Pelodiscus sinensis: one gene and its partner. The protein of the gene in region 2 interacts with the protein of the main gene of each other region in a pairwise test. Links are inferred from orthologs where the notes say so. Each region holds a gene or a part of one and is shown on either strand. Other genes may lie near its edges. The genes, in order: DAZL and PUM2.

Evidence for each region.
Region 1: the proteins of PUM2 (region 2) and DAZL interact in a two-hybrid assay, tested with the Homo sapiens proteins (2 studies listed by BioGRID and IntAct). The link is inferred for Pelodiscus sinensis from reciprocal best matches to the Homo sapiens genes PUM2 and DAZL.

What each region holds. Positions count from the first base shown.
Region 1 is NC_134712.1:193,717,856-193,734,471, reverse strand, and holds the start of DAZL (deleted in azoospermia-like), read right to left. Parts: upstream 7,227-16,616; 5' UTR 7,063-7,226; coding exon of another isoform or gene 7,060-7,062; intron 6,150-7,059; 5' UTR 6,129-6,149; coding exon 6,057-6,128; intron 1-6,056. UniProt on the Homo sapiens protein: RNA-binding protein, which is essential for gametogenesis in both males and females. Plays a central role during spermatogenesis.
Region 2 is NC_134713.1:18,477,465-18,493,622, reverse strand, and holds the start of PUM2 (pumilio homolog 2), read right to left. Parts: upstream 6,755-16,158; 5' UTR 6,620-6,754; intron 4,794-6,619; exon of another isoform or gene 4,716-4,793; coding exon of another isoform or gene 4,710-4,715; intron 1-4,709. UniProt on the Homo sapiens protein: Sequence-specific RNA-binding protein that acts as a post-transcriptional repressor by binding the 3'-UTR of mRNA targets.

The DNA of each region.
Region 1 (16,616 bases), on a different chromosome or scaffold from region 2:
TTGCGGGCTGCTGGCCCCGCAGGCTGCCAGCTTGCAGGAGTTTAACCGTTAACTGTACCAACGAGCATTAGCTTATTGATTAACCAGTTAAACTCTCACATCTCTTATGTAGACTCTTGGCCCTTATTCCAGCCACTATGATTTCAATAAAGCAGTAGCAACAGGGTTTTTGCCTTGAGTCCTATATGAGGAAGAAGCAAGAAGTTACTATTTCAAGTAATCTCTCACAAGGCAAAGATTATATAGCCTTTTACCTTATATGCTGGCTGATCCTCAAGAGCCCCATGTATTCCATGACTACTGAATTTGCATCTTGGCAGAGAATTACACTAAAAAGGAGAACTGAAATTCCTATGTCTTTCTAACCTTTGTGGTCCAAAATTAATCATCAAGAAGTGAGCCAAAAGTAGATATCTCTGAGGGTACATCTATACAGCAGGCTAAAATCAGAATAAGTTACACAACTGCAGCTATGTCAATTGCGTAGTTTAAGTCGAAATAGCTTAGTTTGGCTTTTGGCACCGTCTACAGAGCAGGAGCTCAAAGGAAGAACACTTATTCCTTGACTTCCCTTATGCTTCATAAAATGAGGGTTACCACGAGTTGAAGTAAGAAGTCCTCCAGCTCAACATTATTTTGAAATAAAGGCTTGTAGTATAGACACACTCTTTGTTATTTTGGAATAACTGAGGTTATTCCAAAATAACACTGTTGTGTAGATGTACCCTGAGTGAGCTCACAGCCTGTAACAATATCTCTAAGTGTAGTGGGGTAACATGCCTCATTCGTCTCAGTCTGGTCTATGTGAAATCAGATTCCAAAATACCAATCAATTCAATATTTCTATTACAGCATCACACCATTTGCTGTTTTACTACAGCCATCTATCTGACTAGGGATGTAAGGGACTAGTAGACAATTTGATAAGCTTTTGCTTATCGGGTAGTCGACTAGTTGCTCCCGCCCTTCCCCTCCATCTCTATCAAAGGCAGCAAAGGGGTGAGGGAGAAGGAGCTGGTGCGAGCTGGCTTAAAAGGTATTGGCTGACTTCGGCTCATGCCCCGTTCACCCCAGGACCAGCTCCGCGGGGAGCAAGGGGACAGTGGGAACTAGATGTAAGCCAAAGTCAGCTGATTCCTGGCTTGCACCCACTCCTAGACACTGTGCCTCTGCTTTTTAAATGCATTAAGAGCCTGCTGCCTTTTAATACATTTAAAAATCAGAAGTGTAGCAGGGGGACCCAATGCAAGCCAGGGGCCCTTGTACATTTCAAAGGAGGAATGTAGAACTTCACGTGCAGCTGGAGCCAAGGTAAAGTCCAGCTGACTCCGGGCTGCACATGGGAGTGCCAGCTTTGAAATGTACAAGAGTCCCCAGCGGGGGTTCTTGTGCATTTCAAAGCAGAAGCGCCCTCATGGAAATGCTGATCCTGGGCTCTGTGTGGCATTTCTGCAGAATCCGGGATGAGCTGGGACTCAAAGGGACAGCACTGCATGGAGCCCGGGGTCAACTCCTTACAGTGCTGCCACTGAAGTACCCCCTCTTTCCCCCCCACTGTGCTGCCTCGATCTGCAGCGAAGTGGAGGGAGCGGGGGGAGGGGGGGAAATCGACTAGTTGACTCAACTATCTGATAAGCATTTGCTTACTGGATAGTTGACTAGTCCTTAACATCCTTAGTTCTGACCTAGACTGGCTGGCCATCACCACAGGAACCAAAGATCAAGGAGTGCAGCCAGGCTGCCTGGAAAATTTTGTGGGAAAAAAGTATATTCAAAAGCAGAGAGATAGTTGAAAGTACTAACTGATATAAAAACTATGAGCCATAGACATATGTACAGAAAGAGATGACAAATGGGAAAGGAAATAGAGAACATTTCACGACAATCACAAATTTAAGAATTTAGGCATTGTTGCTAGCACCGGGTCCTATTCTCCCTTTGAATAGGCAGGGCGTCTGTTATACCTTACAATACTGATAATGAAGCAGAGTTTATATTTGTGAAAGGCAAAGCAGAAAAAAAGAACAAATCTAACCAACTGTTCTGTTGGATCCTCACTAGAGCTTCAACTAGCCCACTGCAACAATATTCCTGTGCTTCCCCCCCGCCCCAGGAGCATTCAATCCTACCCCTTCCACACCTTGCTCAGAATATAAAGATATGTAAAGTCTATTCATACTCTTGCCATTGACCCACATGTGTAGCATTTCTATGTACAGGAGTTGCAGTTACCATGACAGCGTATTACCTGAAAGGGAGAAGGAACATGGCTCCCTGTAACAGTGATAGTGTAGTTTACACATTAAGCAGCAGGTGGAGCTATTAGCCAAGTACTGTACTGTACATACCTTTTGCAAACTAGGTGATATCCCAGTCAACTTTAGTTGTTGGTTGTAAGACCAAAAGGGGTTTGGTTTTTTATGTATATCAGTGATTCTTAAAGTGTGGGGGGCATGTCCCCTACAGGGGTTAGGAGGAACAAATGTTCTGGGGGCAGGGGGCGCACAGAGCAGGAAGATATTGCTATGTTTCCAGCCCCACATTACCCACAGGCCAGCTGTACCTCAGACCCTTTCAGCCCTCAGTCTTGCTCTAGGTCCAGGCCCAACTCCATCCTCGCTCCTTCTCTGCCCCCAGACTCAGCTGTGCCCTCCTTTCCAGTTCCATCCCCATCTCTACCTTCAAACCAAACTCTGCTTCTGAGAAAACCTTGGCTGTGCAGTAACTGGAGAAAGAGAGCAGACAAATTCCATTATTGATTGGGGGTGGGAGAAAGAGAGGGAAAGGAGAATGGCACAACTGGAAAAGTTTGAGCACCAGAGATGTAGACCAATACAATTATTTTATTGCAATTCAGGGGTGGGTGGACCAACATACTGGCCCTCCCAACCCACATCTGACTGTCTTCAAAAGTTCAATGGCTGGGGCACAACTAACAGAGGCAGTTGCTCAGGGCATTTGCCCTTTGGGAGGCATCCATTGGTCAGGAGCTCTATGAACACCCTCCCCACTGGGCAAAAGCTCCTACTCCCACCACAAGGCAGAAGTCCCAAACAATGTTCCCGCTAATCTTTTCAATCCATGTGTGGAACAAATATTTTATGTGCACCAAGGCATTTGTGAATGTGCACCTCCAATAGAAACATAATACCTAGCTCTGTGGGTGCTCTGCTAATCGGGTGGGTGGCATCCGAATCTCTCCTGAACAGACACACAAGCGCACAGCTTACAGAGAACAATTGTCTCTTCCTCTGGAATCTTGTAAATCAAGAAGTAGGGGGAAGGGGAGGGAGGAGACACAGACTTCCTGAGCTGTACTTTTAACAGTAAGGCTGTGTCTACACTGGGCCACTTATTACGGAAAAGCAGCCGCTTTTCCGGAATAACTTGCCAGCTGTCTATACTGGCCGCTTGCTTTTTGGGAAAAGCAATGACGATCTACTGTAAAATTGTCAGTGTTTTTCCGGAAAAACTATGCTGCTCCCGTTCGGGCAAAAGTCCTTTTCCGGAAAAACTGTTCCGGAAAAGGGCCAGTGTAGACAGCACAGGAGTCTTTTCCGCAAAAAAGCCCCGATCGCGAAAATGACAACCGGGGCTATTTTGCGGAAAAGCGCATCTAGATTGGCCATGGACGCTTTTCCGGAAAAAGTGCTTGTAGACGCGCTTTTTCCGGAAATACTTATAACGGAAAACTGTTCCGTTTTAAGCATTTCCGGAAAAGGGTGCCAGTGTAGACGTAGCCTAAAAGTATGTAAACTATATCCCTTTTTCAATAAAGGGATGTAAATTAGACATATCGAAATTATAAATGAAGCTGAGATTTGAATTTTTTGCACTTTACTTACATAATGGCGGCCACGGCTTCCCCCCCCCCCCCCCCCCAAAAGCCACTTTTTGGGAAAAAAAAGCCCAATGGTCAAGACAGGGATCTTTTGAGAGAAATGCCATTTCGAAAGATCCTGTAAATCTCATTTTTTGAGGGTTACAGGATCTTTCAAAATGGGGCACTTCTGTCAAAAGATCTCCATCTTGACTTTTCTTTTTTTGGAAAAGCAGCTTTTCGAAAAAAAGCCGCAGCCGCCATTATGTAAATGAAGCACAGGAAATTCAAATCCTGGCTTCATGTACAATTTCAATATGTCTAATTTACATCCCTTTATCAAAAAAGCGACGTAGTTTAGACATACCCTAAAAGAGCTGCCTGTGGCTCACAAGCCAGTTTGGCCACCCCTGCTATAATTATCTCAACCTCTACTTTTATCTACCGTATTTTCCGGCGTATAGGGCGACTGGGCGTATAAGACGACCCCCTATCTTTTTAATTAAAAGATAGGGTTTCATCTTTTACCCCAGTGCCCCTCCGCCTCCTTTGCTCCCGGTGTTCCTGGTCTGCTGGAGATGGTCCCCAGCAGACCAGAGGCACCGGGAGCAAAGCCGCCAGGAGCGCCTGGGCTGCCCCCCCCCGCCGGAGCCCCTCCACGGCTTTGAAAGCCTCGGGGGAAGCCGGCGGGGGGGCATCCCAGGCGCGCATGGGCTGCCCCCCCGTCGGCTTCCCCCGAGGCTTTCAAAGCCGCGGAGGGGCTCCGGCGGGGGGGCAGCCCATGCGCGCCTGGGATGCCCCGCCGCCGGCTTCCCCCAAGGCTTTCAAAGCCGCGGAGGGGCTCCGGCGGCGGGGCATCCGGCGTACAAGACGACCCCCGATTTTTGGGGGATGTTTTTTAACTTCAGAGGTCGTCTTGTACGCCGGAATATACGGTAATCTTATAAAGAGGCTGGAAACATGAAAAAGATTATCTAGCAAATAGTTTTGGAACTAACACTGAAGGTGAAAAAGTCTGTTCCACTGTTAAGTTCAATTTAATAGCAAAGCAGTTTACGATAAATGTGCCTGATAATACAAGATATCTTGAATGGGGAGAATGAGGTGCCCTAACTTTTTCACCTCCCCTTATCAGTACTGGAGTATGTCCACAAGCCCACTCCATTATTGTACAGATGGCTCAGCACAGGAGCTTGGGCTGAAGGTAATGCTGGCCTTAGAGAGGAGAACTGCACCTGGGTCTGGAGCAGAGCTATGGCTGGGGACTGAGCTGCAAGGCAGAGAGTGGGGATGGGGGTGTATAGATGGTGGGAGACTCCTTCCCCATGGTAGCTGGCCTCTGCTCTGCCACGCACACCCTGTTGCCACAAGGACCATTATAAATTGAATACTTAACAGAACTCGTACAGTCTGAAAGTTGATATACGATCAAGTTGTTAATATGACAGGAAGACACTTTTGGATTGCGTGTTTAGCAACTCGTTACAGTAGCTGTAAAAAATAGTAGTGTCATGCTACCATAAATGAAAGTGTGAAGAGCAAAACTGCATTTAAACATGAAAGGCAAGACACTACTAAATTTACTATTTTACTAACAATAGAAATATTAATAAACAATCAGCTTCAGAATACAAAGGTCACAAATTAGTGTCACCATTTAAAATATGTTAAAGCCAGTAATAAGATCTTTCCATGCACACCTGCAGGAAAGGTAGTTTTGTCCCATATTTATACAAAGCACAGTACATTTTCATAATTACAATACTACAACTGCTATATTGCAAGTGATATTCTTGATTTCTAGTGTCTTTATTTTACCAGTTTAGTCCTATTGTTTGCATCACCACAAGCTTAATGCAGCACCCTACTACTCCCAGACAACAGCATGATTTACAGAAAGATGTGCAAACAACATCAAGTTGTTTCTTGAAAGTCTTCATATTATTATTTAGTAAATGATTAACCTGTATATGGGAGCTAAATATATTCTAGTGCATCCTAAAGTAAGAAGTGTGAGCTAATTCCTCTCAGAAACAAGACCTTTTCAGTTTTGACACAGAAACTAAAGCCTGCTTTTTTCCTCTAACAGTTTCAACATGAACATCTGAGAAGTACACTTTTTTTAAGAGCAGCAATGAGTTGCAAACTCATAATATGAAACTGTTTTTGAAAAAGGTCAAAAGATTCAAACTAAAGCTTTGGCTCAGCTGAAATATATGTAACTTATATAATGTACCCAAATCTGAATTGCTTTGTGCTGCATTTCCACAACAGGAGTGGAAGTGAACACTTCCAGGCGTGCTTGCATCCACGCCTGCTAGAGGAGAACCTGCCAGGAGAAGCATGAGTTTCAAATTAAACCAGGGGTCTGCAGATTTTGACCTCACATGGGGCGCGCACCAGCCACAAGGAGGGCAGAGGGGGTTTGACGCCTCTCCTGAAGATGCTTGCTACAGACAGACTGACCTGAGAAAACAGGGCCCTGGCGCTGAAGCCTCCACCCCATGGGGCATTAGAGAAGGGAAACGCGTCCAGAGCCTGGTTAAGCCCAGCCCCGAGGCAAGCAAGCGAAACTCCCCAGGCCTGCGGGCTGCTCCGCCCAGCACCTGAGGGAACGGGCTGGGGCTTCACTGTCACTCTCCAGTGGGCCCGCGGGGAAGCAGCCGGGACCCCCGCACCCGCAGGGGACGGAGCGGGGCAGGCCCCGGCACAAGGGGCGGGCGGCGGCGGGAGCCATTTGGCGCAGTGAGTGGGGGGCTTGGGGGCTGCGTGGCCGAAGCGCGGGGAGGCCCCAGGGAAGGGGCGGCGGCCGCAGCACCACCCGCCAGGGCGTTGGGCTGCCGCCGCGCCGGGGCAAGGAGCGAGCGGAACGGGCCCGGCGTCGCAAGCCGGGTGTAACAAAATGGCGGCGCTTGCGAGGCATGGCCCAGCCTCCTCGACGTCCCAGGGCCCGTCTCAGCGGCCAGCGCCGCGCGCGGCTCTCTCCCCCTGTCCCCAGCGGAGCCGGCCCGTTGCACCCCACACGGCCCCTCAGCCATGCCAGGGGCGGGGGACCGCCCACCTCAGCCACCCTAGGCCGGGGCGAGCCCGTCTCCACAGGGACGCCAGCGCTGCAGCCCAGCCCGACCAGGACAGCGGCTTTGGGCCCCGCCAAATCCCATTCCCCGCCGAGGTTCCTGCCGCCGATCTCCGGCCTCGGCCCCCCTCTCCCAGCCCCCTTAGCCGCCAGCCCCACTCACCATCCTTCCCCACACGCGGGGCAGCGCCCATGCACGTCTAAAAACCGCGGGGTGCTTAAAAACTGACCCCACCAGCTCCCTCCCTCCCACCCCCTAAAAACAGCAGCTCCTCCCGCTGGCCCCGCCGCCTCTCTAGATAATCATCAGAGAGAGAGGCCAAGGGGGCGGGGAGAGGCCACACCCAGCGGGGTACCCAGGAAGAGGGAGGGAGGGAGGCAGTCTGTCTGTCTGTCTGTCTGCCTGCCTGCTCCAAGACGGGCTTTTCCCTGTGTGTTCCCACCTCTCCTTTCATTTGGTGTAGGTTTGGGGTGGATTTTACTCTAACCTTTCTGGAGTTAGGAACGGTATTTTACTGCCTGACCTGTGGCTTCCCCCTCCACCGCCAGTAAAAAGGATATAAAGTTTTGCTCTGCAGCATAATCTCATTTCATCCAATGGAGGCACTTTGCTCAGTAAGTGTTAATTTTACTGGGACACCCACTCTTTGTGAAACGTTCTTATTTAATTGGTCCTTGCTTATCAAAGACATGGCCTCGGAGATGAGGTTTCTGTTTGCTTTCTTCGCTTTAACAATCACCTTCAAACTGAAGGGATTGTTTTTGAATATAGATTATTTTTAAAAGGGAACTCGCTCTTAGCAAATCTTGAGATGCACTTGTTCCATTCAAAGCCAATGGGAGTTCTGTTATTGACTTCAGTGTCAAGAGGTCTGGGAGCATTGCTTAATCTCTGTGCTAGTCTCCTAAGGTTATGTCTACAATGTAGTTAGACACCTATGACTGGCTTGGACTAAGGGACTGTTTAATTGAGGTGTAGCTGTCTGGGCTTGGGCTGCCTCCTCAGAAGGTGCTAGAACTATGTGAGCCCAAGGCCAAATGTATATGCTGCAAATAAACAGCCCCTTAAACCGAGTCCCAAAACAGCCACTAGCCCAAATCAACTAGCATGGGCCAGTCATAGGTTTTTTGACATCTGCACTGCCCAGAAAAATCAGCTGCACTCAGTCTCATAGGGCTCAGGCTTAAAAAGTAAAAAGAGCATTGCAGACATTCATGTCCATACCGCTATTCTTCAGTTGGTGGTGCACATCCTCATAAGGAGTGCTTTCATTGAGATAAGAGAACCATCTGTCTTCTCCTTTTGGCTCCCCTCACCACCAAGAATGGGGTAGGTGCCCCCTCTCCCACCATGGCACCTAACTGGAGCTCCCTGGCCAGGCAGCTATGCTCTCAGTGTGTTTCAGGAAGCTGAAAACCTGGCAGGGAGGACGGGCTTCTGGTGGGAAGAGCAATGACGGGAATCTGGTTGGCTGCTATGCTCCTGGTGGGGAGCTAAGAGCCTGGCTGGCCAAGCAAGTCCCTGGTAGGGAGCTCTGTGTCCAGCTGGCTACTCCATTCCTGGTGGAGAGTCAAGAAACCTAGTGCAGCTGCATTGTTTCCAGTGCGGAGCTTGGAAGCCTGGTATGGCTGCCCTGTTCCTGATGGGAAGCTGAGAAGCCTTGTGAAACTGCACCATTCCTGTCAGGGAGCTGAGAAACCCTGGTGTAGTTGCTCTGTTCCCAATGAGGAGTGGAGCGCCCCAGGACGGCAACTGGGCTTCCTGTGGGGAGATCTGTGCCTGTTGGCTGCAATGCTCTTAGCAGAGAGTGGAGAGACTGGCAGCAGCCTGGCAGGAAGCCCTGGGAGCTGGTTTTCAAATCTGCCTTATGTTGACCAATACTGTAATGTAGACCAGGACTCAGTCAAAAGAAAGAAGTAAAAGATCTTGGTACTTAAGACCAGTGAGGGGACAATATGCTGGCACAAAAGTCTGTCCATGACAATCTTTTTGGAGGATTAAAGCCTACTGTTCGTCTCAAATTGTATAAAGAGACTGCTTGGTAGCTTTAAATCTTGTTTGGTCACAACTAATCAACTTTCCAGTGATCCTCATTACTAATTTATTTACAGGGATTTTTAAATCTATATTTGACATTGGCTAAAGGGATGTATGCAGTGGTTAAAAGATTTACCCTAAGTTTTAAACCTATAGATTTGTGTCAACTTAGGGACAATTTTCATAGTTTCAACAAAATCCTTTTTAATAGAGAGATATTTCCCCCTTAAAATTGATCCACATTAGTGAAGAACACATCAAGGCCTGGATATTTTCTGCTCTTTATTTCTTGCTTTGTGCCCCCATCCTTTCTACCTAGATATGGATAGGCTTTTTCTTTCCTTTTTATTTTTAAGTTTGCAGGAATTCTTGATCATTCCCACTGAGTAAAACTTGTTTAAACTGTTTATCCCATAAATTCCCAGTTTTATTTCTCAATAATTTTAAATATACTGCAGTCTAATCTCATGCCACTTGTTTTTATTGCCACAATGACAGGAAATTATTCTGTGAAGGTGGACTCACAGATGTGCACTTATACATATACTCTTTGATATCTGCTCTGTGCTATTTAACTGTATTATCATTTTGCAATAAATTGTCATAAAAACCCAGTGCTTTGTCTGTTTTGGTCCCAATGAACTGCTCATTAAAGCCTACACAGAGGCATAATCTGAAATAATGATATAATTTATCTCACTTTGTTCTACCCTGTGAAGATTACTTCTATCAGTACAAATTAAATCAATTCTAGAGACAGAGATGCAACTCAGAGTAAAAATATAATTTTTCCTCTGCATTTCTCTCCAAATATCCACAAGCTGTAGTTTAGCTAGTTTTTCTGATTGTATCCATATCTTTTTCCTTGCTTTCCTTCCTTGAATATTAACAATTTTTCTTGTCAATGGCTTAGTTAAAAGGTCAATACTAGGAATGTTAACTATAGGTGACCTGATTCTGCGCAGCATTACAGTGGAACCTAATCCCAGGTTCTGGGGAAATGCTGCACAAAGCCCAGGATCAGCTGGCAAGTGCACTGCCCCTTTGAAACGTGCAGAATCAGGGCCTGGAGGTGGGGGAAAATATGCACAGTTTCCTCCACCTTGCCCCTGTCTTGCGAGGCGCACATGGCACTTAGAAGTGCTGCGCACTTCTGGCAGGGCGGGAGGAGGCTTCGCGTGCTCCCCAGGCCCTGATTGGCCTGGGGGCGGGGGAGCATGTGAACTCTCTTCCCACCACCAGGGACATGGGTGCTTAGTGGGAAGGGGGAGCAAAAGGGCTCCCACACCCCCAGGCCAATCATGGTCTGTGGGTGGGGAAGCCTGAAGCCTCCTGGCCCCACCCCTTCCTTTTGAAGCCCCGCCCCTTTTGGTGCAATCCTGGGCCACTTACAAAAATTTTGAAATGGCACCTGGCAAAAAAATGATTGCCCAATCCTAATGTAGACCAATGCTGACCAGCTTTTAAATAGCTCCAGTGATGGAGATTCTATAATTTCCCCAGGCAATTTACCCCCAGTGTTTACCTACCCTGACAGGAAGTTTTTCCTAATGTCCTAGTCTGCAATTTAAACCCATTGCAGAATGGCAAGGTCAAGCATGCTGGAGGAGAATTGATACTAATTGAAAACCTTTTGAAGTAATTTTCTGTTGTGTTAGTATAATGCTGATGGAAAGACCTTGCAGAGAAAAACAACCCTTTATTTTCTCTATAATTTTGCTTCCCTGGCCAACTAATAATCTAATCTAAACTTGTCTGAGATCTTTGGTATTGAACATAAAGGACAGAACATCGAAGCTCAATCAGTATCATCTCAACTTTCATTATAGCCCTCAAGTCACTGTGTCATATCTCTGCCGTGGAACCTGATTTTTATACTGTACTCCCATCTCCTGGATTGTAGGAAGAGTTTGGGAGGGGCATAGGTAGGGTGAGTTGCACACCTGTCCTGAAGAGATGGGGGCAGGGCCTGAATCATGAACATTTCCACCATGTGTCACATAAGAACAGTCATACTGGGTTTAAATCACCTGGAAAGAGGACAGTCACTGATAAAACTACCCCTAAACCTCCTCCAATTACCTAAACAGAACAAAAAGTGCAATCTCTATTTATGTATTTTATTCAGTTACACAAATGATCAGCAATGCAGAGTATACAATAAGTGAAGATTTCCCCATATAGTGAAGGTTCATATTACATTTTATGATTAGAAGGAAATATAACACAGGAGTGAAACATCCCTAAGTTTTTGGACTGTTATTTTCTTGAATAAAACACCCAAACATATTTCTTCTTTCTCTTTTTATTTTGTCAGGTAGCAAAAAGAAACTTTGGGGACAAGGATGTGGGGAGGAGCTAGGATGAAAATCTCATGTTTGTGCATTTGCCATAGTAGGCAGGTATGGCTAGAACTCACCATAGTGTAAACCAAAGAGTCTCAAGCCTTATGTGAATAAGAAATTCAAATAGAATGGTTGCTCACAGCGCTCAAAATACATCTGCTAACACCAAGTAATTAATTTAGTAGGAACTTAGAGGAAGAGAACATAAGAATGGCCATACTAGTCACACCTATGGTCTAGGTAGCCCAATATCCTGTTCTTCAACAGTGGACAATACCAGATGCTTTGAGGGAATGTACAGAACAGGGAAATTATGGCTTCACCCCGTATCATCCAGATAATCACTTGTCTCTTCAGATAGTCAGGATTACACACACAGAAACATAGTCAATCCACCCTAGCTAACCTTCAGTGTATTCTCTCTGATAAATTGAAAAGCCCTGTATAATGGTATAGCCATGCATGACCACCATATCTTTATAACCTAAGAGATATTGCCAACCTCTTAGTGCTGAAAGTTGGACTGTCATATTCTTAGAACTACAATGATATCTGTGTTCTTTAAGAGAATAGAATTATAGAAGTTTATCTTTATTAGCTCTTGTGGGGTAAAGCACTGGATACAGAGATGTATCTTTTAAGGCCTCCATGTTGTTGTAACCTAAGCCCATAGTTTTGCTGGAAACTGATGATGTGTTAGAGCTGTGAAACTATGGAACAGGCTTTCATAGCTATGCCAACAACAATATTAATCTTGTACCACTAGTGTGCTTGGATTTACTTTCCATAGGACAGTACACCCATGAGAATAATCTCTCGTCTTGTGTGAGATCTCTTGGCTAATAAGTCTTAAATCATCAATTACATGCAAATGTTGATTAAACTAAAATATAATCATTCTTTAAGCAAGTAACAAATATATTAATCATTATTGCAGCAGTTGACTCATCCTCAAACTGCGCTGTATTCAAATCAAAATAGTGCTGATTATTGTGATTCCTGGAAATGTAACCTGCACTACAGGGCTACGTCTACACTGGCATGAATTTCCGTTAAAAGCATTTTCGGAAAAGCGCGTCTAGATTGGCAGGATGCTTTTCCGCAAAAGCACTTTTTGCGGAAAAGCGTCCGAGGCCAATCTAGACGCGGTTTTCCGCAAAAAAGCCCCGATCGCCATTTTCGCGATTTGGGGCTTTTTTGCGGAAAACAGTACTATGCTGTCTACACTGGCCCTTTTGGGCAAAAGTCTTTTGGAAAAAGACTTTTGCCCAAACGGGAGCAGCATAGTTTTTCCGGAAAAGCACTGATGATTTTACATGAGATCATCAGTGCTTTTCCGGAAATTCAAGTGGCCAGTGTAGACAGCTGGCAAGTTTTTCCGGAAAAGCTGCTGATTTTCCAGAAAAACTGGCCAGTCTAGACACAGCCCAGATGTTTTTCTATGTTACAGCTTCTTAAAAAATAAAAAAAGGTTACAAAAAGAATTGGATGATTGAGTAGTACTCAGCAGCGTTATTTCAGAATAACTGACATTATTTCAAAATAACAAAGAGCACATCTATACTACAAGCTTTTATTTTGAAATAATGTCGAAATAGAGGACTTCTTATTCTGACTCCTGTAACCCTCATTTCACAAGAAGTAAGGGAAGTCAAAGGAAGAGTGTTCTTCCTTCGACTTCCTGCTGTGGAGACAGCACTAAAAGCAAAAATAAGCGACTTTGACTTAAGCTACGCAATTGACGTAGCTGAAGTTAGTAGCTTGTTCCAACTTTAACTCTGCTGTGCAGATGTACCCTAAGGCTACATGTACACTGCCCCATCTTGTGCAACAAAATATGCAAGTGAGGCAAAGTGTGGAATATTGCCATGCCTCATCTGCATAATTAACAAGGCTCCATTTTTGCACAAAAACCCCCTCTTGCGCAAGAGCCGTTCTTCCTCTTTTTTAAAATTATGCAAATGAGGCACAGCGATATACCATGCTTTGCCTCATTTGCATATTTTTTGCACAAGCAGGGGCAGTGTAGATGTAGCCTAAGTGTATTGGAATAAGCTTCAAAAAATTAGTGATGAGGTACAAAACAGATGAGAGCTTTTAGCAGTGGTTGCTGGTCACAAATGTAAAAATGACTAATAAATTTTTCAAAATGAATAGGAAAAAAGTTCTTGAACTTAGACCTCATAATCTGGGATCTCTTGAACTCTGATATCACATGAAGTCAGACAGTGAAGAAAGAGGAATAGTTAGCTCTTGAATTGATTATAAACATTCTCTTAAATGAATTGTTGCCATAACTTTGCAATCTCATTTTTTCCTGTCTTCAGAAGTGAAGAAACTCTTGTACATGCATAACAGGAATCAGCAAAAACAGTACACATTCATTCCTTGAAAGGAAAACTTTGCAGCAGACTTAATGGGTCAAGTAGAAATATGTGCTGAATACACACATACTTTAGTCATGGCTTCCTGGTGACATGGACATAAAATCTGGATCCTTTAATTTTTATAAACCTCAGCAGGGATTGCTGGTCTCACAATATACTCCTGTTGTTGGCCCATATATTTTTTTACTTGGTGTTTGAACACATTGAGATAAAATCTGTTCTCATTTACACCTCTGCCACAACTCTGAAGATGCTGGTGTAACAATGGGTATAAAATACAGTAGAATTTGCCCTGTATGTTATACTAGAAGATTTACCTAGCATTGTTCGGGTTCTTAATTCAGAAAAGTTTTGTTTTTCTCCATTTAAATCATTATGCTAGGGTGAGCCTAGGGATGAGGTGTTCAGTATGCAGGCTATCCCAGGGAGAGAGGACAACTCCTGCCCTCTCTCACCACAGCAGCTTGCGGTCCGGTGAGAAGCACCTATCCATGGCCACTGCCGCTGTAGCAGGCACAGCCAAGGAAGGAGTGCATGTCTCCCGGCTGGGGGACAGACAGACACACAAACAGACAAACTCTCTGAAATATGTAGTAGGTCAGTGTCCCTGGGTATGTCTACACTAGCCCCCTAATTCGAACTAGGGAGGCTAATGTAGGCATTCGAACTTGCAAATGAAGCCCGGAATTTAAATATCCCGGGCTTTATTTGCATGTTCCCGTCCGGTCACCATTTTTAAATGCCACTAGTCCACGCGGCAGTTAAACGGTAATTCAAACTAAATCCTTAGTTCGAATTACCTGTTACACCTCATTCCAGGAGGAGTAAAAGGTAATTCGAACTAAGAACTTAGTCCGGACTAGTGGCATTTAAAAATGGCGACCGGACGGGAACATGCAAATAAAGCCCGGGATATTTAAATCCTGGGCTTCATTTGCAAGTTCGAATGCCTACATTAGCCTCCCTAGTTCGAACTAGGGGGCTAGTGTAGACATACCCCCTTTCTCAACATCTGTCCCCTACTGGCCCAAAGGGTTTATAGCTATCCTGGTCCCCATTTTTGGCCCCTTGCTGCCATCATGTGGTCATTATATAGTATAACTATCACTGCTAGCAGAGCCCTCCCTTTCCATTTCATGATAATTACATTCCATGCACATTCCATTGTCCTGGAACAACCAAACCCGTACCTTGCTTTAAGTTAAGATAATAGGAAGCTGAATACCAAATCTGGTGGTCCTAGTTCTTACTCTTTAGGAGGAGTGGGATGGGGGCTTGAACCCCTGCACTAAGAGCAGCACTGCTCTGCTGTGCATTCACGGCTGCGTGACCGAAACCAGCGGGGCTTGAGACCCGGAGCGCAGGGAGTTTAAAGGGAGGCCAGGAAGTGGAAGTGTGTGTGTGTGGGGGGGGGGTAGAATGGGAGAGCCAGAAGGAGTGGAGCAGAGGCTGGATGTGTTCCCCCCAGCAGGAGACCGGAGGGATGTGGGTGAGCCAAGAAGATCCCAACCCAGAGCGCCCGGCCCCATCCAGAGCAGAGCGGAGAGACCGGAACCCTGGAGGAGAGCCCCACTCGGACATTGAGTGACAGGGACAGCTGGAACTCTGGGGCATAGACATTGGGGGAAGGGAGGCCATAGAGGGATAAGAAGCATAGAAGGGCAGGGCAGGGAATATGACACGTGGTGGACCCCCGAGGCAGTCCGTGGACTCTGTTGCACTGGTGGAGAACGTGGGTACAGGTGATTTAAGCACCAAAAAAAAAAGGCGGGGGGCGGGGGGAAGAGAGGGCGTTCTTTGTCTTTCTCCAAATAGGAGTTGGCAGGGGACCCAGGCAGTAGTGGAGGAAGTTGGATTAAGGGACGATGAACGTGAATAAACTGTTAGAGTGGCTGGCTGACAGTCAACGTCAGCAGCAACAGCAACAGACGCAGCTGCTGCAGCAGATGACGACCCAGCAACTGGAGCAACACCAGCTGTTATGGGAGTTGGTGGAGCTCCAACAGAGACAACAAAAGAAGTGGGCCCAGCAGTGGGCTCCCACGCCAGGGTTAGGTGCCTCCGGGATACCCCTGGAGGGGGCATTTGGAGGAGGATCATTGCTAGCCTTGCTGCTCCGCCTGACGAAGATGAGCCCTGGGGACGACGCGGAGGCCTTCTTAGTAACATTCGAATGGGTAGCTTCTGTGGTGCATTGGCCAGAAGAACACTGGGTGACACTACTGGCACCCTACCTCACAGGCCCCGCCCAGCTGGCGTATAGGAGTTTTTCGGCTCGGGACGCCCTACACTATCATAAGGTGAAGGAGGCCATATTGGACCAAATGGGGGTGACACCGGAGGTCTACCATTGGTGGTTTAGGGCCGAGTGATATCGACCTGGCAAATGGCCGCGGGTGGTGGTCCAGTGACTTTGGAAAGTAGCAGGGCGGTGGCTTGAGCCTGAAAAGAAACCTAGCACTCAAATAGTGGAGATGATCGTACTAGATCAGTTTTTGCAGATCCTTCCAAGCGACAGCAGGACCTGGGTTCAGCGACACCAACCGTCTACCCTTGGGGAAGCCGCCGCTATTATGGAGAATTACCTGACTGCGGAAGGACGGGAAGAAAGAGGCCGTGAGCCCCGAGAGCCCACAGAAAGGAAAGGCGTAAATGGCTTGGCACAGCCTAGCCAGGGACATGGGAGACAATGGGCCGCCGGCCTATCGAGTGGAGGACCAGGAGACGGTGCCTGGCGTGGCTTGGAGCAACTGAGAGGATGGGAAGGTAGAGTGGAGAACCTGACACACCCGGAGGAAGGACTACGACCAATGGTACTCATGCCTGTGCCACACAGGGCCTGCTATGAGTGCGGGCAGGAGGAACGTTTCAAATGTGACTGCCCCTTTATAGATTGTTCATATGGACAAGTGCTGGCAGCCAGCCTCCGAGCCCGGGGGCAGGACCCCTC
Region 2 (16,158 bases):
GAGAGGAGGGAGGCTCCAGCCCAGGCAGAGGAGCCCCCATTCTTGCAGCAGACCCAGTTTTGGTGTGCCGAGAGCAGCCCCCAACCATGGTGTGCCCAGGCCAAGGCCCACCCCAAACAGAGCCTGCTCCAGCCGGATTGGAGCAGTTCACCAGCGGCATGTTTGACCAGTTAACTAATTAAAATTGATTTTACATTCCTAGTTTGTATACTATTTATATACAGGTAGTCCCCGACTTACGCGGATCCGACTTATGTCGGATCCGCACTTACGAACGGGGCTCTCTCGCCCCGGAGCTCGCAGGCAGCGGTCAGCCACCTCGACCTCTGGGGCGAAAAAAGCTGCTCCCAGTGCCCCTGGTCTGCTGGAGACAGTCCCCAGCAGACCAGGGACACCGGGAGCAAAGCAGCAGCGGTGGCGGGGTCCCACACCTCTGAGGCTTTGCCAGAGCAAAGCCTCAGAGGCGCGGCACCCCACTGCCACTGCGGCTTTGCTCCCCATGTCCCTGGTCTGCTGGAGGGGGGGGCGCGCGCAGCTAGTGTGCCCCCCCCAGCAGACCAGGATTTTGTTGTGGACCCTGGGGCAAAGCAGCTGGGGCACTGCAGGTTGGTCCCGCAGCACTGCTCTGGGCACTACTGGACCAACCCGGCAGCACCCCAGCTGCTCTGCCCCAGGCATCCTGATTCAGCCGCTGCTGGTCAGTTTCAGCAGCAGCTGAATCAGGACGCCTGGGGCAGAGCAGCTGGGGTGCTGCCGGGTTGGTCCAGTAGCGCCGAGGAGCGGCGCTACTAGAGCAACCCAGCAGCACTCCAGCTGCTCTGCCCCAGGCGTCCCCAAGTCAGCCGCTGCTGAAACTGACCAGCGCTGACTACAGGAAGCCCGAGGCAGAGTTGCTCTGCCCCGGGCTTCCTGGAATCAGCCGCTGATCAGTTTCAGCAGCAGTTGACTTGGGGACACTTGGGGTTCTTAAGTTGAATCTGTATGTAAGTCAGAACTGGCGGTCAGTTTCAGCAGCGGCTGAATATGGACGCCAGTTCCGACTTACATACAGATTCAACTTAAGAACAAACCTATAGTCCCTATCTTGTATGTAACCTGGGGACTGCCTGTATAAAGCAACTAAATTTTAAAAGTATTTTGGTACAGTACACTTATAATTTAAAAATGTATGCTCACCTGACACTGAAATGAGCAATTTCATATTTAAAAAGTAATCTGCGGATTGAGATTTTCTATGTCAACCTTTACCATCTCCTTGTTGCCCCTTCCCCACATAAAAACAGAAAATCAAAGATTTATGATACATGTAAGTAATAGAGAAAGAGATACAATGGAAACAAAGCCAGTCAGTACAGTAATTTGTGTCGATTTCTCAAAATTTTCCTTACCACTGGCTCAGTGAGAATTAATTTAGCTTTACCTGGTAATTTAGTAATTGAGCTTTAGCTGGTGAAATTGTAGACCTATTTGGAAATATCTGATTAAACTGTCAATTTTTTTCACAGATTACCAAGTCCAATTTATAAGAAAAAAGATCACAGTACCATAGGTTAATTAAAATACATATTAAATATTAAAATACTGCAATACACAATATTAATATGACCATTTATATTGAACAAGGCGCATGTTCAAGTCACAATATTTTGTTTTGGACTTATTCTTATTGTACTTGATAGAAGTCCTGCACTTATCTATACAGTCAATAGTTTTGTAGGTGTAGCATTTCAGAGATCTTTATATCACTCCTGAGCAATGCTCTCTAATCTTTTCCATCCACATGCAGACATTGCTTGGTGCACATACAAAAAAAAAAAAAAAAAAAGTATGAATATGTACCACTAGTAAAAACAAAAAGCCTAGCTGTGGGTATTCTGCTAATCAGCTGGGCAAGCATTTGAATTAGGGATGTAAGCAACTAGTTGACTACCTGATAAACAAATGCGTAATCAGGTAGTCAAATAGGAACATGACTAGTCGCTCCCCCACTTTGCAGCCTCTATCAGAGGCAGGCAGCGATGAGGGAGCATGAGCTGATGCTGGGGGGGAGCTGTTTTAAAAGCCCTCTGCATCCCTCCGTCTGAAATGTACAGGAGCTGCAGGCAGAAATTGTACATTTCAAAGGGAGAGGTGCAGCAGGATAGCAAGCACTCCCCTTATCAAATAATCGAGTAGCTGATGGAATTTCCATAGACTACTCAATTAGCTGATTAACTGAAATTTAACATCCCTAATTTGAATCTCTCCTGAACAGCTGCACAAGCACACAAGCTTTCAAGGATCACTGCTCTTCAGTGCATTCTGCACCAGAAAACTAAATTTTTTGCACAATATTTTAAAAATTTGTCAAACAAATGTAGGAACCCCGGCATGGTACTTGGGAGCACACAAGGGATGTGAACAGGTAACAGGTTACCCAGTAAGCATCACCCTTACCTTGTGATGCTTACCAGGTAATGGTTAACCAGTTCCCCAGGACAGCCCCATCCATGGCCTGCTGCAGACGGAGGGCTGCTTCAGCCCCGAAGGGCAACCAGCCAGCCCCACGCAGCTAGATGCTGGCAGCCAGCTGGTAGCAGGAGACCTGCAAGCTGCTCCAGTTGGGCTGGAAGAGTCCCTTGTCTCATCTTGTTAAACATAATGTTTAACAGGTTAAGTGACTAACTGGTTAACCAATAAATGGGTAGGGAGCCTGGAGCACCCCTGCCTGCAGTGTGCCAGACTGGGCCTGCCATGGGGCCCTGATCTCCCCATCTCAGTCGAAACTAGTAGCTGAGCCTGGCACAGGGTAGGAGCCAGTAGCTTGGGTCTTCCCCAGTCCCTGCCCCTACCCCACAGTGATTTCTCTCTCCACTGGCTACCCTAGGCACCCAAAACATACTGTTGGGGGGGGGGGGGGGAGGGCTACATGATCATTCTTGTGGCTTCTCTTTTCTTCACCATCAGAAAGTCATTTTTCTGCAGGGAAGAAAATAAATCTGCAGGTGCCCTAAATCCTGTGCATGTGCGGTTGTGCAGAATTCCCCCATTACTCCTCTCTCGACACCTAGGATGGCCATCCCACTGCTTTCACAGAACTTTATCTTCATTATGTACATGCTAGCTCTCCAAAAGCCACTTCCAGAATGGATAATGCATCAGGGTTTAATAATCAACTTTACTGACACCTTTAATGATATTTCTACAAATAATACCTAATTTTGATTCACCAAGTAGGTAACCCACACCACATTCTGGGAAATACTATCAACTAGAAGCAATGCTGACAAATTCTGAAGGAGATATAAAGTAAGCCTCCCATAAAATAAAGTCTCAGCAATATGTAAGCTGTTACCAGAAAGAAAAAAGTTTTATACATATCTACTGGAAATTAGACAGACAGTTAGAACCTGTATATACTTTATGTAATTTGAAGGTGTTTTATAGGACTGCAGCTGTACAGTACTTCTACTATATTACAAGGAAGTGCCTTGAAAAGGCATTATACGAATGTAATATGTTGTTACAGGAAGAGAAAACAAGCCTTTCAATTATTTTGTTCTTGTGCCATTTCACAGAGTTTGGGTTCTGGGCTTATTGACAATGCTGGAATGGTTCAAACGTGTAGAGTAAGCAATAAAATAGTTGTGCTATGGGTGGAAAAACTTCACCCTGGATGAGGGAAGTATTTTTCAACTAAAATTATTTTTTAAGTAGAGAAGAACAGAAGTGGAAAGAGCAATTAATATAGTTCATTCTTATGAATGCACCTTATACAACCAAAGCAGTATCTATATGACCTACCCATCACGCTCTTATAGTCATTTTAGAAGTTTTCATTTAGAAGTGATCTGTTTTCTTTCCCTTAGTCTACAAAATGTTAACTGCCAATATCTTTCTATCAAAATGCCTGTACACTAGAAAGAAGGCATCAATGTTAATAGAAATAATCAAAGTTGACCGAACATTTTTTTCTGCCCACCTAACAACTATGTTCTTAAGAAGGGCCATTCAGAATCAAACCAGTGGTCATACTATCTTCTGACAGTGGCCAGTGCCAGACACTTCAGAGAAAACAAACAGAACAGGGAAATTATCAACTAATCTGTCCCCAGCTTTTGGGACTGTAACGTTTCAGAAACTATACAAAGCAGAGACTTGAGTTCTCAAGATAAAGTATTTTAGACAGTTTTACACACACAAAGTATTAGTACACACACATACATGCACACCTAAGAAAGGCGGAAAGCAGACAAAGTAAAACCAAAAAAAGTTAGGATTTTCAAACTAACTCCCTGCTAATGCTAACCCCCAGTATACCCACAGTCTCTCACACATCTAAACAAATGGGAAAGAAGTTACTTATGGTCTAATGCTACCTACTGTCTAATGCTCCTACAATCAGGCAATAAACAACATTCTTAAATATATATTGTAACACTACATTATTGTTTTCCCACAAGACAAGGAAAAATGAGATTCTCTCTCTCTACCAATAAAAATGTATTAGCTATAACAGATTTCACTGCATTTAATATTTAAAGGAAGTTAATTGCACTCTTCCTGGTCAAACACCATTACAATGAATTAATAACGGTTTCTCACCTTTCATTATTGTAATTGCCTAGTCACCATTCTATCCCCCCCACCCCATGGAAAAATTATAAATATTAAAATAGCACGTGTATGTATACACGTAATATTCATGCAATAAAAGTGCACCCTGTTACCTGCATTTGCCCATTAGGTCTGTCTCCTCTGGGACTACTTCTAATTTTCCAAGCCCATGAGCATCTTCAAGCAGCTGCCAGATGCTTTGTTTAAAAAAAAAAAAAAAAAAAAAAAAAAAAAAAAGCCACAGAATTCAGTCTTTCCCCATCCTAATTTTCTCACCACCTTTACCTACTAAAAATACTTACGATACAGTATTCAGTCATGGACCAGTGAAAGGTTTAAGATCCAACACCTATTAATACCATTGCAAAAATGAGATCCCCAGCTTTCCAAGAACACACACAATATCTGCTTCTAAATCCAGGAAGATCCAGAAGGATGTAGACATTAAAGCCATCCAGACATTAAAATTAGCAGCAGTATTTATATTAAATAAGACATTTCAGGTATATTTAGAGATCTGAAAAATGTATTTGTTTTCATTTTCCTCCCCCTTAAGAACCTACAAACTTTGAATCATGGTAAGTAAAGAACCCTAATCATTCCATTGTGGGACATGCACATGCGCGTGCGCACACACACACACACGCACGCACACAAAAGACCATGAACAACATACATTTCCAAAACCAATTTCTGTTAATATGCAACCTATGGACAATGTACAAATGTTTTGTATAAAGATTTTTATGGACACTCATTTGCAATGCTATATATACCTCATGCATGTCTTTATCACTTGGTGGTAATGACACATCCCAAACGCAGGTTGGTAAAACCTCTAAAAACCATGCCACCATATAAAACATATTACATGTTTTAATATTTTGACATTTTCTTGCTTTGTACAATATTTCATACACCAGACGGGTATGAAATACTCAGTATCACTTTCACAGCATTAAAGACATAATCTGATGTTAAGTACACACACTAAACTTCATAACAAAAAAATCTCCTGTATAATGATTGCTAATAGTTTTAAACATCATCAGCAGTCATCAAATAAAATTGTGATCCACTCCGCACGTAGCTGTATTATATGTTCCAATAACATTTCCTCTGATGTTATTTGTCTGTGGAAATTTTAAAGAAAAAATAAAATCCAATATTTCACTGTGTGGCATCAACTACAAAATATGCATTTAAGCTCCCTACCCGCACGTGCCTTTAAAAAAAAAAAAAAAAAGAGAGAGACTTACATATCCCCAATAAAGAAGATAGAATAACCTGTGAAATACTGAGATCAGTCTAAATAGTCTAATGGTCCCTTATGGCCTTAAGCTCAAAGATATTCAAAAACCTTATTCGCATTTCCAAAATATTTCCTGTGCCTAGATCTCAGTTGTGCCCTTCAGTGACCACTGCTCTCTTGATTCCTTGCCACCCTTTCCCTCCCAGCCTCAGAGGTCTGTTTTTCAGGCACAAGTTCACCTCTGGTTTGATCTAAATCCTATGCCTTGGCGTAAACGACTCACCGAGGCTTTTTCTCCCCTCTCACCTAAAACGCAGCTCCCTCACCAAAGGGGGTGTGTGGTGTTAGCATCCCGAAGGCGTTTAAAGGGTCACACCGCAATCCCCCACCCCACAACACTCCCCCCACCACACACCCCTCCCCTGCAGAATATCCCTTTCCCCTCCTCCACCATGCACGCTCCCCCTCCGCCCAGACTGCCCCCTCCCCCCACAGGCGACCCCTCCCCCGCATGCGCCCCCCTTCTGACCCCTCCCCCACCTCGCTCCCTCTCCCGCCCCCACCCCCTTTGTGCGGCTCCCGACAGCGGCCCGGCGGATTGCTTGGGCCGAGCGGCACAAAGGAGAGCCCAGCCGCCATCGACCAGGCCCCGACCAACGGGGCGACCGGCCTCGAGGCCCGAGACAAAGGGGGCTGAAGCGAGGGGGCTCCGCCCGCTGCCGCTCCCCCCCCCCCGCGGCCTTGGCTACCCCGGCCCCGGGAGATACTCACGGGCTGGCTGGCGGCGCTGCTCCCTGGAACGGAGCCGGACAGGGCCCTGAAACACCCCTGTCCCCGCCGCCCCCCCCTCCGGGTCTCTCCTTCCTTCCTCCCCTCCCCCCACCTCAGCCGCCAGAGACTCACAACAACATGGCGAGAGACCCACACACAGAGGGAGCGCGGCAACCCCCACTGCGCAGGCGCGCTGCGGCCGGAGACGGAGGCGGGGCGGGCAGCAGGAACTCTCGAGTCCCTTCCGCCGCGCGCCTATCAGCGGCGTTGGCGCGCGGCGTCTGCGCGCGCTCTGATGTGCCAGCGGCCCCGCGTGCGTGAGGCGGGTTGGGGGGGGGGAGGTCGTGGTGGCGTGCCGAACGCGGAACTCCTAGCGCCCCATTGTTCCTTTCGCCTGCACCGCCTGGGATGTGAGCATGCTGCAGGGCCGGATCCAGCTCCCGCCGGAGTGCACGGCTAGTGTCGCAAGTTGTCACTGGAAGAGAAAGACCTGAACTAGCCACAACAGTGAAACCCTACGCCCACCCAATAAGACGAGGCTGGGCTGCAAGGGGTGAATTTCTGTAATGCAGCGGCCGTAGAGATTCAGCTAGCTTTGCAGAATTTGGCCAGTAGAAGGAGAAACGTGCGCACGTGCATGGGTATTATCAATAAAGAGAACCTCAGAGGGCTAGCCATGTTTATTTAAAAAAAAACGAGTAGTCTTGCAGCTTTCGTGGGCAAAACCCACTTCCTCAGATGAGAAACTGTTCATTCCAGCGGAGAGATGTAAAAGAAAAAAAGGATGGTCAAGCCTCAGCTCACCAAGAAATTATGGTTTCAAAACAAAAAATTGATTTTACCTACACACCAATTCTTTTGTCTCCCAACAGCATGACACAGGCACAGATGTGATCCAGAAAGCAACCCATCTAACCAAAACATCAGTAAATAGAAGCTCCATTGATTTCTTTTACATAAACAATAAGCAAGTGTATTCAGTCTTAACATTAACTAATTTAAATAAAAAAATGAGTACAGCCTCCCATGAAAGAAGAAAGTGTGTGCCTATGCCAGTTTCCCAACGAGGGTCCGTGGACCATCGTCAGGGGTTCCGCAAGAAATTGTGGAATAAATAGTAATAAGAAAAAATCTTACAATGTAAGCTAATTGTGATATATATATATATGTATATGTATATATATATGTATATGTATATATATATATCTCAAACAGAACAGCTCTTTACAAACATATTGATATCCAAAGCTGGATGTCCGCACATCCATTCTTTCAAGCATTACTCACATGATTACCAGTGGACCCAAATCTCAGTCCAAACGCAGTCTTTAGGAAGGCTCTACTGATAGCAAGTTCTGTAAATCCAGTTTAACCAGCTCCATGGGGATTTCCACATTGGAGGGGGATTTCCCAGGTGGCTTAGAACCAATAGAGTGGTTCCCAAAGCACTAACCTCACAGCACAGAGGCCTATTTAGAGGAAAGGAAGCATTGTAGAAGCACTGCTACACTATGGACAAACCAGGAGACAAAACAGTTCCTGGGAGCCATAAGCAAAATGTGCATAATTTACAGGCAGTTCTAAGATTTTTGAGAGGATTTGTGAACTTTGGAGGAAGTTGTACAGCGCCTCTGGAAAAAAAAACTCACGTTGGGAGTCTCAAATTAGTGATCACTTAAAAATATTCTGCTAACCTCTCCTGTTTCTTCATTTGTAAAATGGGGGCAGAAAGACACTTTTCTACTGCACAATAGTGTTTGTGAGGATTAGCTAATGCTTGTAAAATGCTATATTACATACCTGTAAGAGCTAAGTATTTTTTTAATCAGCATAAGTTTCACAAACAAATATATGTGATCTCTACCTGGTCTGACTGGTCCTTTGTAGGATGAAAAAAGCAAAATAGAAAAATGTGTAAATGCAATTATAAAGTGATTTGAAAAATAAAACTGAAACTTATCACAGTAAGAGCAGCATTCAAACTTTAAGTCCACACTACCAAAAAAATGCCACTTCTATTTTTTTTTTTTTTTTTTTTTTTTTTTTGCTGAAGGGAAACTTAAAAATACTTATTTATAGTTTAATTTGACAATGCATTTTTGAGCTACTTAATAAAAATGCTAGGATATAAATGTTAAGGCATTAATAATTGATAATGCTTTCCTAAGCACTCTCCAGGGGTTTCTTATGAACCACACATCAACATGGTTTTACTTTATTTGGTCCTCTCGTGTATCAGCATCATCAACATCAGTGAGACACACAGCTGTAGGAAGAGAGTCAATTCCTACAGGTTGGACATCCCTTGTCCAGTACCCTGGAGATCCGACTGGTTCCAACCAAGGGGATTTCCTGAACCCAAGGAGATAGTCGCTTGCTACATGTCCTGCGGCCCCTGGCTAAGGTTCCAACTTAGCCCCACTGCTGCCTGTCTGGCCATGGCTTTCGCTGGAGTTGGATCTCCACAGCCAGGGATGGAGTTCCCTGGCTGCTGCTGGGGATAGACTTCTGTGGCTGCCACTGTCGTTCCCAAGCTCCATGGCTGGTGCTGCCATCCCGAGCTCCATGGCCAGGACTGCAGCTCGTTGGCTGTTGCTGCTGGCCCCCAAGCTCCATGGCCAGGGCCAGAGTTCCTTGGCTGCCACTGCTGGGCCCCCACTACCACCTGGCTGCAGGGGCCAGAACTCCCTGCTGTGCCACCCATCCCTCTGCGCCCTGTGCTCTGGCTTCCGGCTGAGTCTCAGCCTTCCCTTCCCCCCCCCCCCCCCCCCCCACACACTGCTCCTTTCCCATGGCTTCCCTATTCCTGGGCTCTGTCTGACCATGGATGTTGCCAGACCAGAGTCCCGGTTAAGAGAGATATAACCTGTATTTCATATGTTCGGCCTGCCGCTGAATGCAACATAACAGCTTCTACCTAAATGGCGTCTGATTACAGTGCCATACCATCCATAGGACAGTTTTGGGCAGTTGTCTCAGGCCTCATGCTTCAGGGGACCCCACAGCAGCAGCCTCAATTGTTCTATGGATGAGACAGTACCTCCTGTTATCTGTGGGGCCCAGGCAGCCTGGGGCATTACCAGAGGTGGAAAGTAACTAAGTAGAAATTCTTTGTTACACTGCTCTAGTATATTTTTTCAGTATTTGTACTTTACTCAGGTAATTTTTGTGATACTTTGACTTTTACTCAAGTAGGGTTTTTTTTTTTTTAGAAAATATTGTACTTTTTACTCCACTATCATTTCTGGAAGCTCTTAGTTACTCACTTCTTTGATCACCCCACTGACAGCGGTGCAAACCAGCATTCTGATTTGCTAAAGCACAACCACGTGCACAAAGCATCCAATCGTCATGCAGGCTACATCTACACTGCAGCCTTTTGTTGGCAGAGTCAATGCAAATGAAGCGCTCATTAGCATTTGTCACACTGTCATTTGCCTCTTCTCTGCCAAAGCTTTTTGCAGAAGGGGTTTTTGCGCAAAAACAAGCAGTATAGACGGGGCCATTTTGCACAAAAAAACCCCTTTTGTGCAAGATCTCTTATGCCTCAAAAAAGGAGGTATGCAGGATCTTGCACAAAAGGGGTGGGTTTTTTTGCGCAAAATGGCCCCGTCTACACTGCTTTTAAGAGGAATAAGGGATCTTTTGGAAAAGGCTTTATTTTCCGAAAGATCCCCATCTAGACTGGCGCTTTTTGCCAGCAAAGCCCCAAGCCGGAAAAAAGCGGCAGCCATGTTCATGCAAATGAAGCGGGGGAGATTTAAATCCCCGCTTCATTTGCAATTGCGCTGTGTCTAATCTGCATCCCTTTTCCGCAAAAGGGGTGCAGTCTAGACACAGCCTATGGATATGCTGCCATCCTCTCCTACAATCTGGCTATGTCTACACTACAGAATTTTTCCAGAGGTATCCTAGAAAAACTCTGCTGCATCCAGGGAATGCATCTTCTCTTCCAAAAAAATTTTCAGACGAGCAGACGTGCTTTTCCAGCATCCCTGTAAACCTTGTTTTACAAGGAAGAAGGGATGTTCGGAAAAAGGGTTTTTTCCGACATGTGGCCCAGTATGGGCAGGCCAAATATCAGAAAAGCCTCTTCCAAAAAAGAACAGTGTAGTGTAGACATAGCCTTAAGGAGGTGTCCATCAGGTCCAACACACCTTTGCCTGCCTCAGCTGCCTGTGAGAGACTCTTCAGTGTTGCTGGACTCATATTTTGTCCTAGGAGAGCAAGACTTGACTCTGATCATTTTGAAAATCAACTGCTTTTAAGGTTGAACAAACATTTTTGTAATTAATCATTACAATGCTAAAATGCACACTTGTGAATGTGAACAAAATAAATACATTTCTGTAATTTGATTCCTGTATTTAATTTGGTTACTCTTTAGCTTTATAAATGAAGGATGTGACTACATTTAAATTTCAGATTTGAAATGTGTGTGTGTGTGTATATATATATATATACACACACACACACTTGTGGCAGGGTAAACCCACTCCTGGGTCCCAGTATCCTGCTCAGTCCTTCACTGGGCAAGCTCCATACTGAATTACCAGCCCTTGGAAGGGTTTAGGCTCTGGTCCCTCAGCCACCAAGGGCATTGGAGCCAGTGCTCTGTGGACAGCCTGGGCTGCCAAAACAGTCCTTTTCAGCTCTCAGCTGGGGTCTCAGGCTGCCCAGAAAAGTTGTGCCTAAAACACCTGTTTGGAGCTTGTCACATCCACTGTGCTATCTCTGGCACTGTTGCCATTCTTAGTCTGCTCAGGTCTCTTCTCACTCCACTTCCTCCCTCTCTCCACCCCCACTGAAAAGGGGGGGAAGGGTGGGTTCCTTTTAAAGGCTCCATGACATCCTCAGGTGAGATCAGCTGACCCTGATTAATCAACAGCAGCCCTATCTCCTTTGCTCCTGATTGACCAGGGCTGCCTTAGAGCTGCCTTTCTCCTTCTTAGTTATAGTCCTCCAGCCTAGGTCTGTTACTATAAACTTGTCAGCTACTTTTTACTTCTGGATACTTGAGTACAACTAAGATGCAATACTTTTGTACATTTACTCAAGTAGTCCTCCAGAAGGACACTTTGACTTTTACTTCATTATATGTTTTTCAAAGTAGCAGTACTTTTACCCAAGTAACTTTTTTGGGTATTTTTTCTACCACTGGGCATTACCTGGGGGGGCTGGTATGGGGCAGCAGCTGACGTCACCTCTTGTACTCACCACAGTGGCTGATTCGGGTCCCTGCTAGCTCTTTTAATAGCTGCCTGCTGGCTTTTGCCATAGCTCAGCCAGCTCTTTCCAGAGTTGTTCACCAAGGCACACCCAGTTACTTTCACCTCTGCTGTCTTCACTTCCAAGGTCCTTCACAGCCTATACCTAACCTACCTGTAAGTTCTGATCCACTGTAAAAAGGGCTTTCAATGGGCTCTTGATACCAGCCGACACTGCCAACTTTTTAAATTTTCAAAGAAGCACATCTGTGTTTTCTCCCTTTCTACCCTTCATACTAGAAAGGAACTCCCCATAAATATCTGTAAAACTAATATGTTATCCTCCTTCAAAACTCCCCTTAAAACTCTCCTTTCCCCAGGATGCCCAAAAGGATCATTATTGTCTCATGGTTTCCTTGCGCTTCCCACCTGTGTGTCTGTAACTATTTGTCATCTCTTGTCTTATTTAGAGTTTAAGTTCCTTTGAGCAGAAATTGTCTTTTTTCCCCTTGTATGTACAGCGCCTACTACAATGGGGTCTTGGTCCATGATTAGAGCACTTAGGCACACTGCTAAAATAATACCAATAAAATAAATAATAATAGGTGCTGCGTTACATTATATTGTCCTAGATGAGGTGTAACCACCGCCCTTTATATTTTAAGCAATCTCCAGCCTAAAACACAGGCATACGTGTGTCCACTCAGGAATTTGAACCATGTGGGCAGAGGAGTTTTGGCTTGGAATTGAGAGCATGCATTGGTATGAATGAAAAGCCAGAGAGGGAGTGAAGGAATAGAAAGCTGGTAGCACAACCCTGAGAAAAGCCTACAGAGAAAGATTTTGGGGTTTGCTGGCTGAAAGAAGTTTGGGTGTGTGAGCAAAGAAAATATCTTCTTTTATTTTGGTTCCTTCTGTCTGCTTTCAGAGAAAGAGGACTTTGTACATTCTTTGTTAAGAAATAAAATTGCATCAAAACATACTAGACTCCATCATCAGTTTCTCCACTTACTGGAAGGACCTACAAGAGGCAGAATTTTCACAACCAAATGGCAATACTTTCACAGCTGGTCATATGCTAGATTTGTAATTTTTAAATAAATGTATAGGCTTCTATAAAGTTTAGTTGGCTTTACCTCTATTGTTTTTATTATGTTTTTAATAAGTTGAATAACACCATTCTGCAGACATTTTAAGTGAAAGATCAGTGAGTCAAGTGTACAATCCTAACTTAAGCATCGTCACCAAAGACAAGTTACCACAAATAAACTTCCTTTACAGTAGTGCAGAGCACAGCAGGATTAGGTTGCAGACTGAACCAGGATCTATAGTTAGAACACTGATTTCCCCAGTAGGCCAACTTTTGTTTCTGAGTCATTCAGTTCCCCTTAATAGCATGGGATATAAATAGATGTACATAATAAACATACCTCAACATCACAACAGTCAGAGATGGCTATTCATTGTAATAGAGGGTGAGTAGCTAATGACATAATATTGTGTATGTGAACATGAACCCAAAGCAGAGATAACAGCAGCTGGCTTTCAGATTATGTATTACTTGGCCTCAGATGATTCCACCTGGTTTACTGATAAGCAGCTACAATCTGATCTTTTTTTAGATAATAGATGTCTCAATAAGACTATAATTTTCTCCGATTCAGTTTTGAATTGTTAATTGCAGTAGCTCTTCAAAATGAGTATACCCGTACTTTATGCAATTAAAATCACATAGTGCACCTACTACAAAGTATAGCTGAAGCTGTAAATAAGATTAGATTAAATTTGATTCATGTACATATTGTATAAAATTATAAGTAGATAAGTATTCTACTTTTAGTCTTTATTAAAAAGCACTGGAAGTTCAAAGAAATAGCCTCGTTAATGAATATAATCATTCTGAGAAAAAGACCATTTGTCTCTGCCATCAGTGTATTGTTATGCAACCTATTTTTACTAACTGATTGAGGTGATGAAAGAGGGAAAATATTCGAGTGCCCTCAATATGCTGGGGTGCATGAACACTTCTCTCTCTTTTCCAAGAAACTAGGGTGCAGGAGATCGGGTTGTGACCTGGGGAAGGGGACTAGGATGCTATAGGGGGGTGGAGCAGTTTGGGCTGTGACCTAGAGAAGGGGGTCGTGGCTGTCTTCCTGGGGGGTCACAGCGCCGGGCTGGCCACCATTTTGTTTTCCCGGCTCGGCATCCAACGTGCACGCAGCATGGTCAGACCGGCACATTAAAGGGGCTGCAACAAAATGTTCCAGCTGGCTTTTTTTTTCCTCCACCCCAAAAATTAAAAAAGATTGAGCACCACTGACTTAGGGCAGGAGGCAGTTGTGACTTGGGCAGCAGACTGGGCTGCTGGGGTTTGAGTTGTGAGCTGGGGCAGGGGATTGGGGTACAGGATCTGTGAGGTGATATGGGTGAGGTGGGGGGGAAGAGCGTTGGGGTTATGTGGGGTGGGGAGCAAAGGTTAGGGTGCTAGATGCAGGCTCTGGCTGAGAGACTTAACAGCTTGACTCCCAGCCAGTAGCCTTGTCAAGCAGACCCCAGGCCTTCCCCTGTCGTGTGGTTCGATTTATTTTAGATTCAAGGGAAACCAGGACACTCCAGAGAGACTTCACCATTTTCTTATTTATTGCAAGCTTTAAGCAGTTAATATAGTTGTTTAAATTTTACAAGCCTTAAAAACAATTACTATACAATTTTAACTTTAAATACCTGTACTATACATTTTAAAGCAATTAATACAGCACAAAGCAATGCAAAAGCAATTACTAGAAGATCTACTATAATACAACAATAAAGCCTAGATTACTTACACTTCACCCGTATGTCACCTACAGTACCAAGCAGGAGGTCACGGTCCCTTTGATTCCCACCCATCAGAATGCCATGCACTGGGGCCACCGGTATAAAGAGTCTATTACTTCTAGTTACAACAAGCAGGACCTGTGTCAATCTTGCTCACTCACTCCCATCGATTCTTTTTACTAATCCCATTTTATAGCAAAGCGGGATTTGGTCGTTCTAATAATATTTACCAATTGATTACGTATTGTATACGATACCTCCAATGCCCAATGCCCTATTTGGGGTACATCCTGCTACTCAGGATATTGCAAAAACTACATGTGTAATTGACAGTTTTATGGCTGCATCTGTAATTTTTGCTTATCAGAAACAGAAGTACCAGCACAAGGTTGCTTGTCGTGAGTTCTTGACTTGGTCTTGTGCACGATGCTCAATCTGAATTGTTATGCAAAACATCTCAAAGCTTCTCCCTCGACCTTGCCTACGTTCTACGTGCACCAGACTTAGACAGGCCTGGGTTTTGCTTTTTAGAGATCCGCACTGTGGTCAAGGCAGACCTCACCATTTATTGCCATGGCAGGCCGTCCAGGTTTCCCTACAGCTCTGCTCCCGCACTGGCTGCAGGGGCCATGTGGTTTTTGGACACCTATGAACCTGAGGGAAAGGGTACTTCCCAAGATGCAGCCCCCATAGTCCAGAAATTGACCAATGGGATTATGCTGGGAGCTGAAGCAGCATGTAAACCCTTTCCTCCCTCTTCTGGCTTCACATCTGTTTAAACAGACTCGCAATGACCCATTTCTCAGCAGCGTGCCGGGTGTGTGTGCCGGGTGAGGCGAGTGGGGAGAGGCAGGGAGTCTGTGGGCTGGATCTGGCAACTTGGCAGGCCAGATCCGGCCCGCAGAGGGTATTTTGCCTAGGCCTGTATTAGGCTATTGATATAAATAAAGAAAAGCCTGTGCCTAACTCCTTCCAGAGACTTATGATTCGGGCTTAAGTAATAACAATACTATATGCCTATAATGCCCTTTGTCTTAGCATCTTAGAAGTAGAAATATTAATAGATTGACCTTCAAACCACACCTAATTAATGCAATAAGTATTAACATCACTGTTTTACTGTGAGATAAATTCAGGCATACAAAGGTTAAGTGACTTGCCTAAGGTGACAGGAATCCTGCAGTAAAACTCAGGTTTTCTCAGTCTTATGCTCTGATCACTAGATCAATGGTTCTTAGCCTTTTCCATACAAGAACCAACTTTGCCATACTGGAACCTCCATTCCTGCAGCCATGACCCATAGAACCTACTGCTCCTGTTGGCAACCCCAAGGCTGAGAACCCATATCACATTCTGTGTTTGAGAGATGCAAGCCATTGCTGAATCTGTGCCTGTTTTGCAAGGAGAGAGCCACGTTCAGCAATTAAACTCCTTGCCTATACCCCAGTCTTAAACAATATGATTCTAAATTTTGCCAGGTGAAAGTCAACAAAAATCAGTGTGAAAGATAATTTG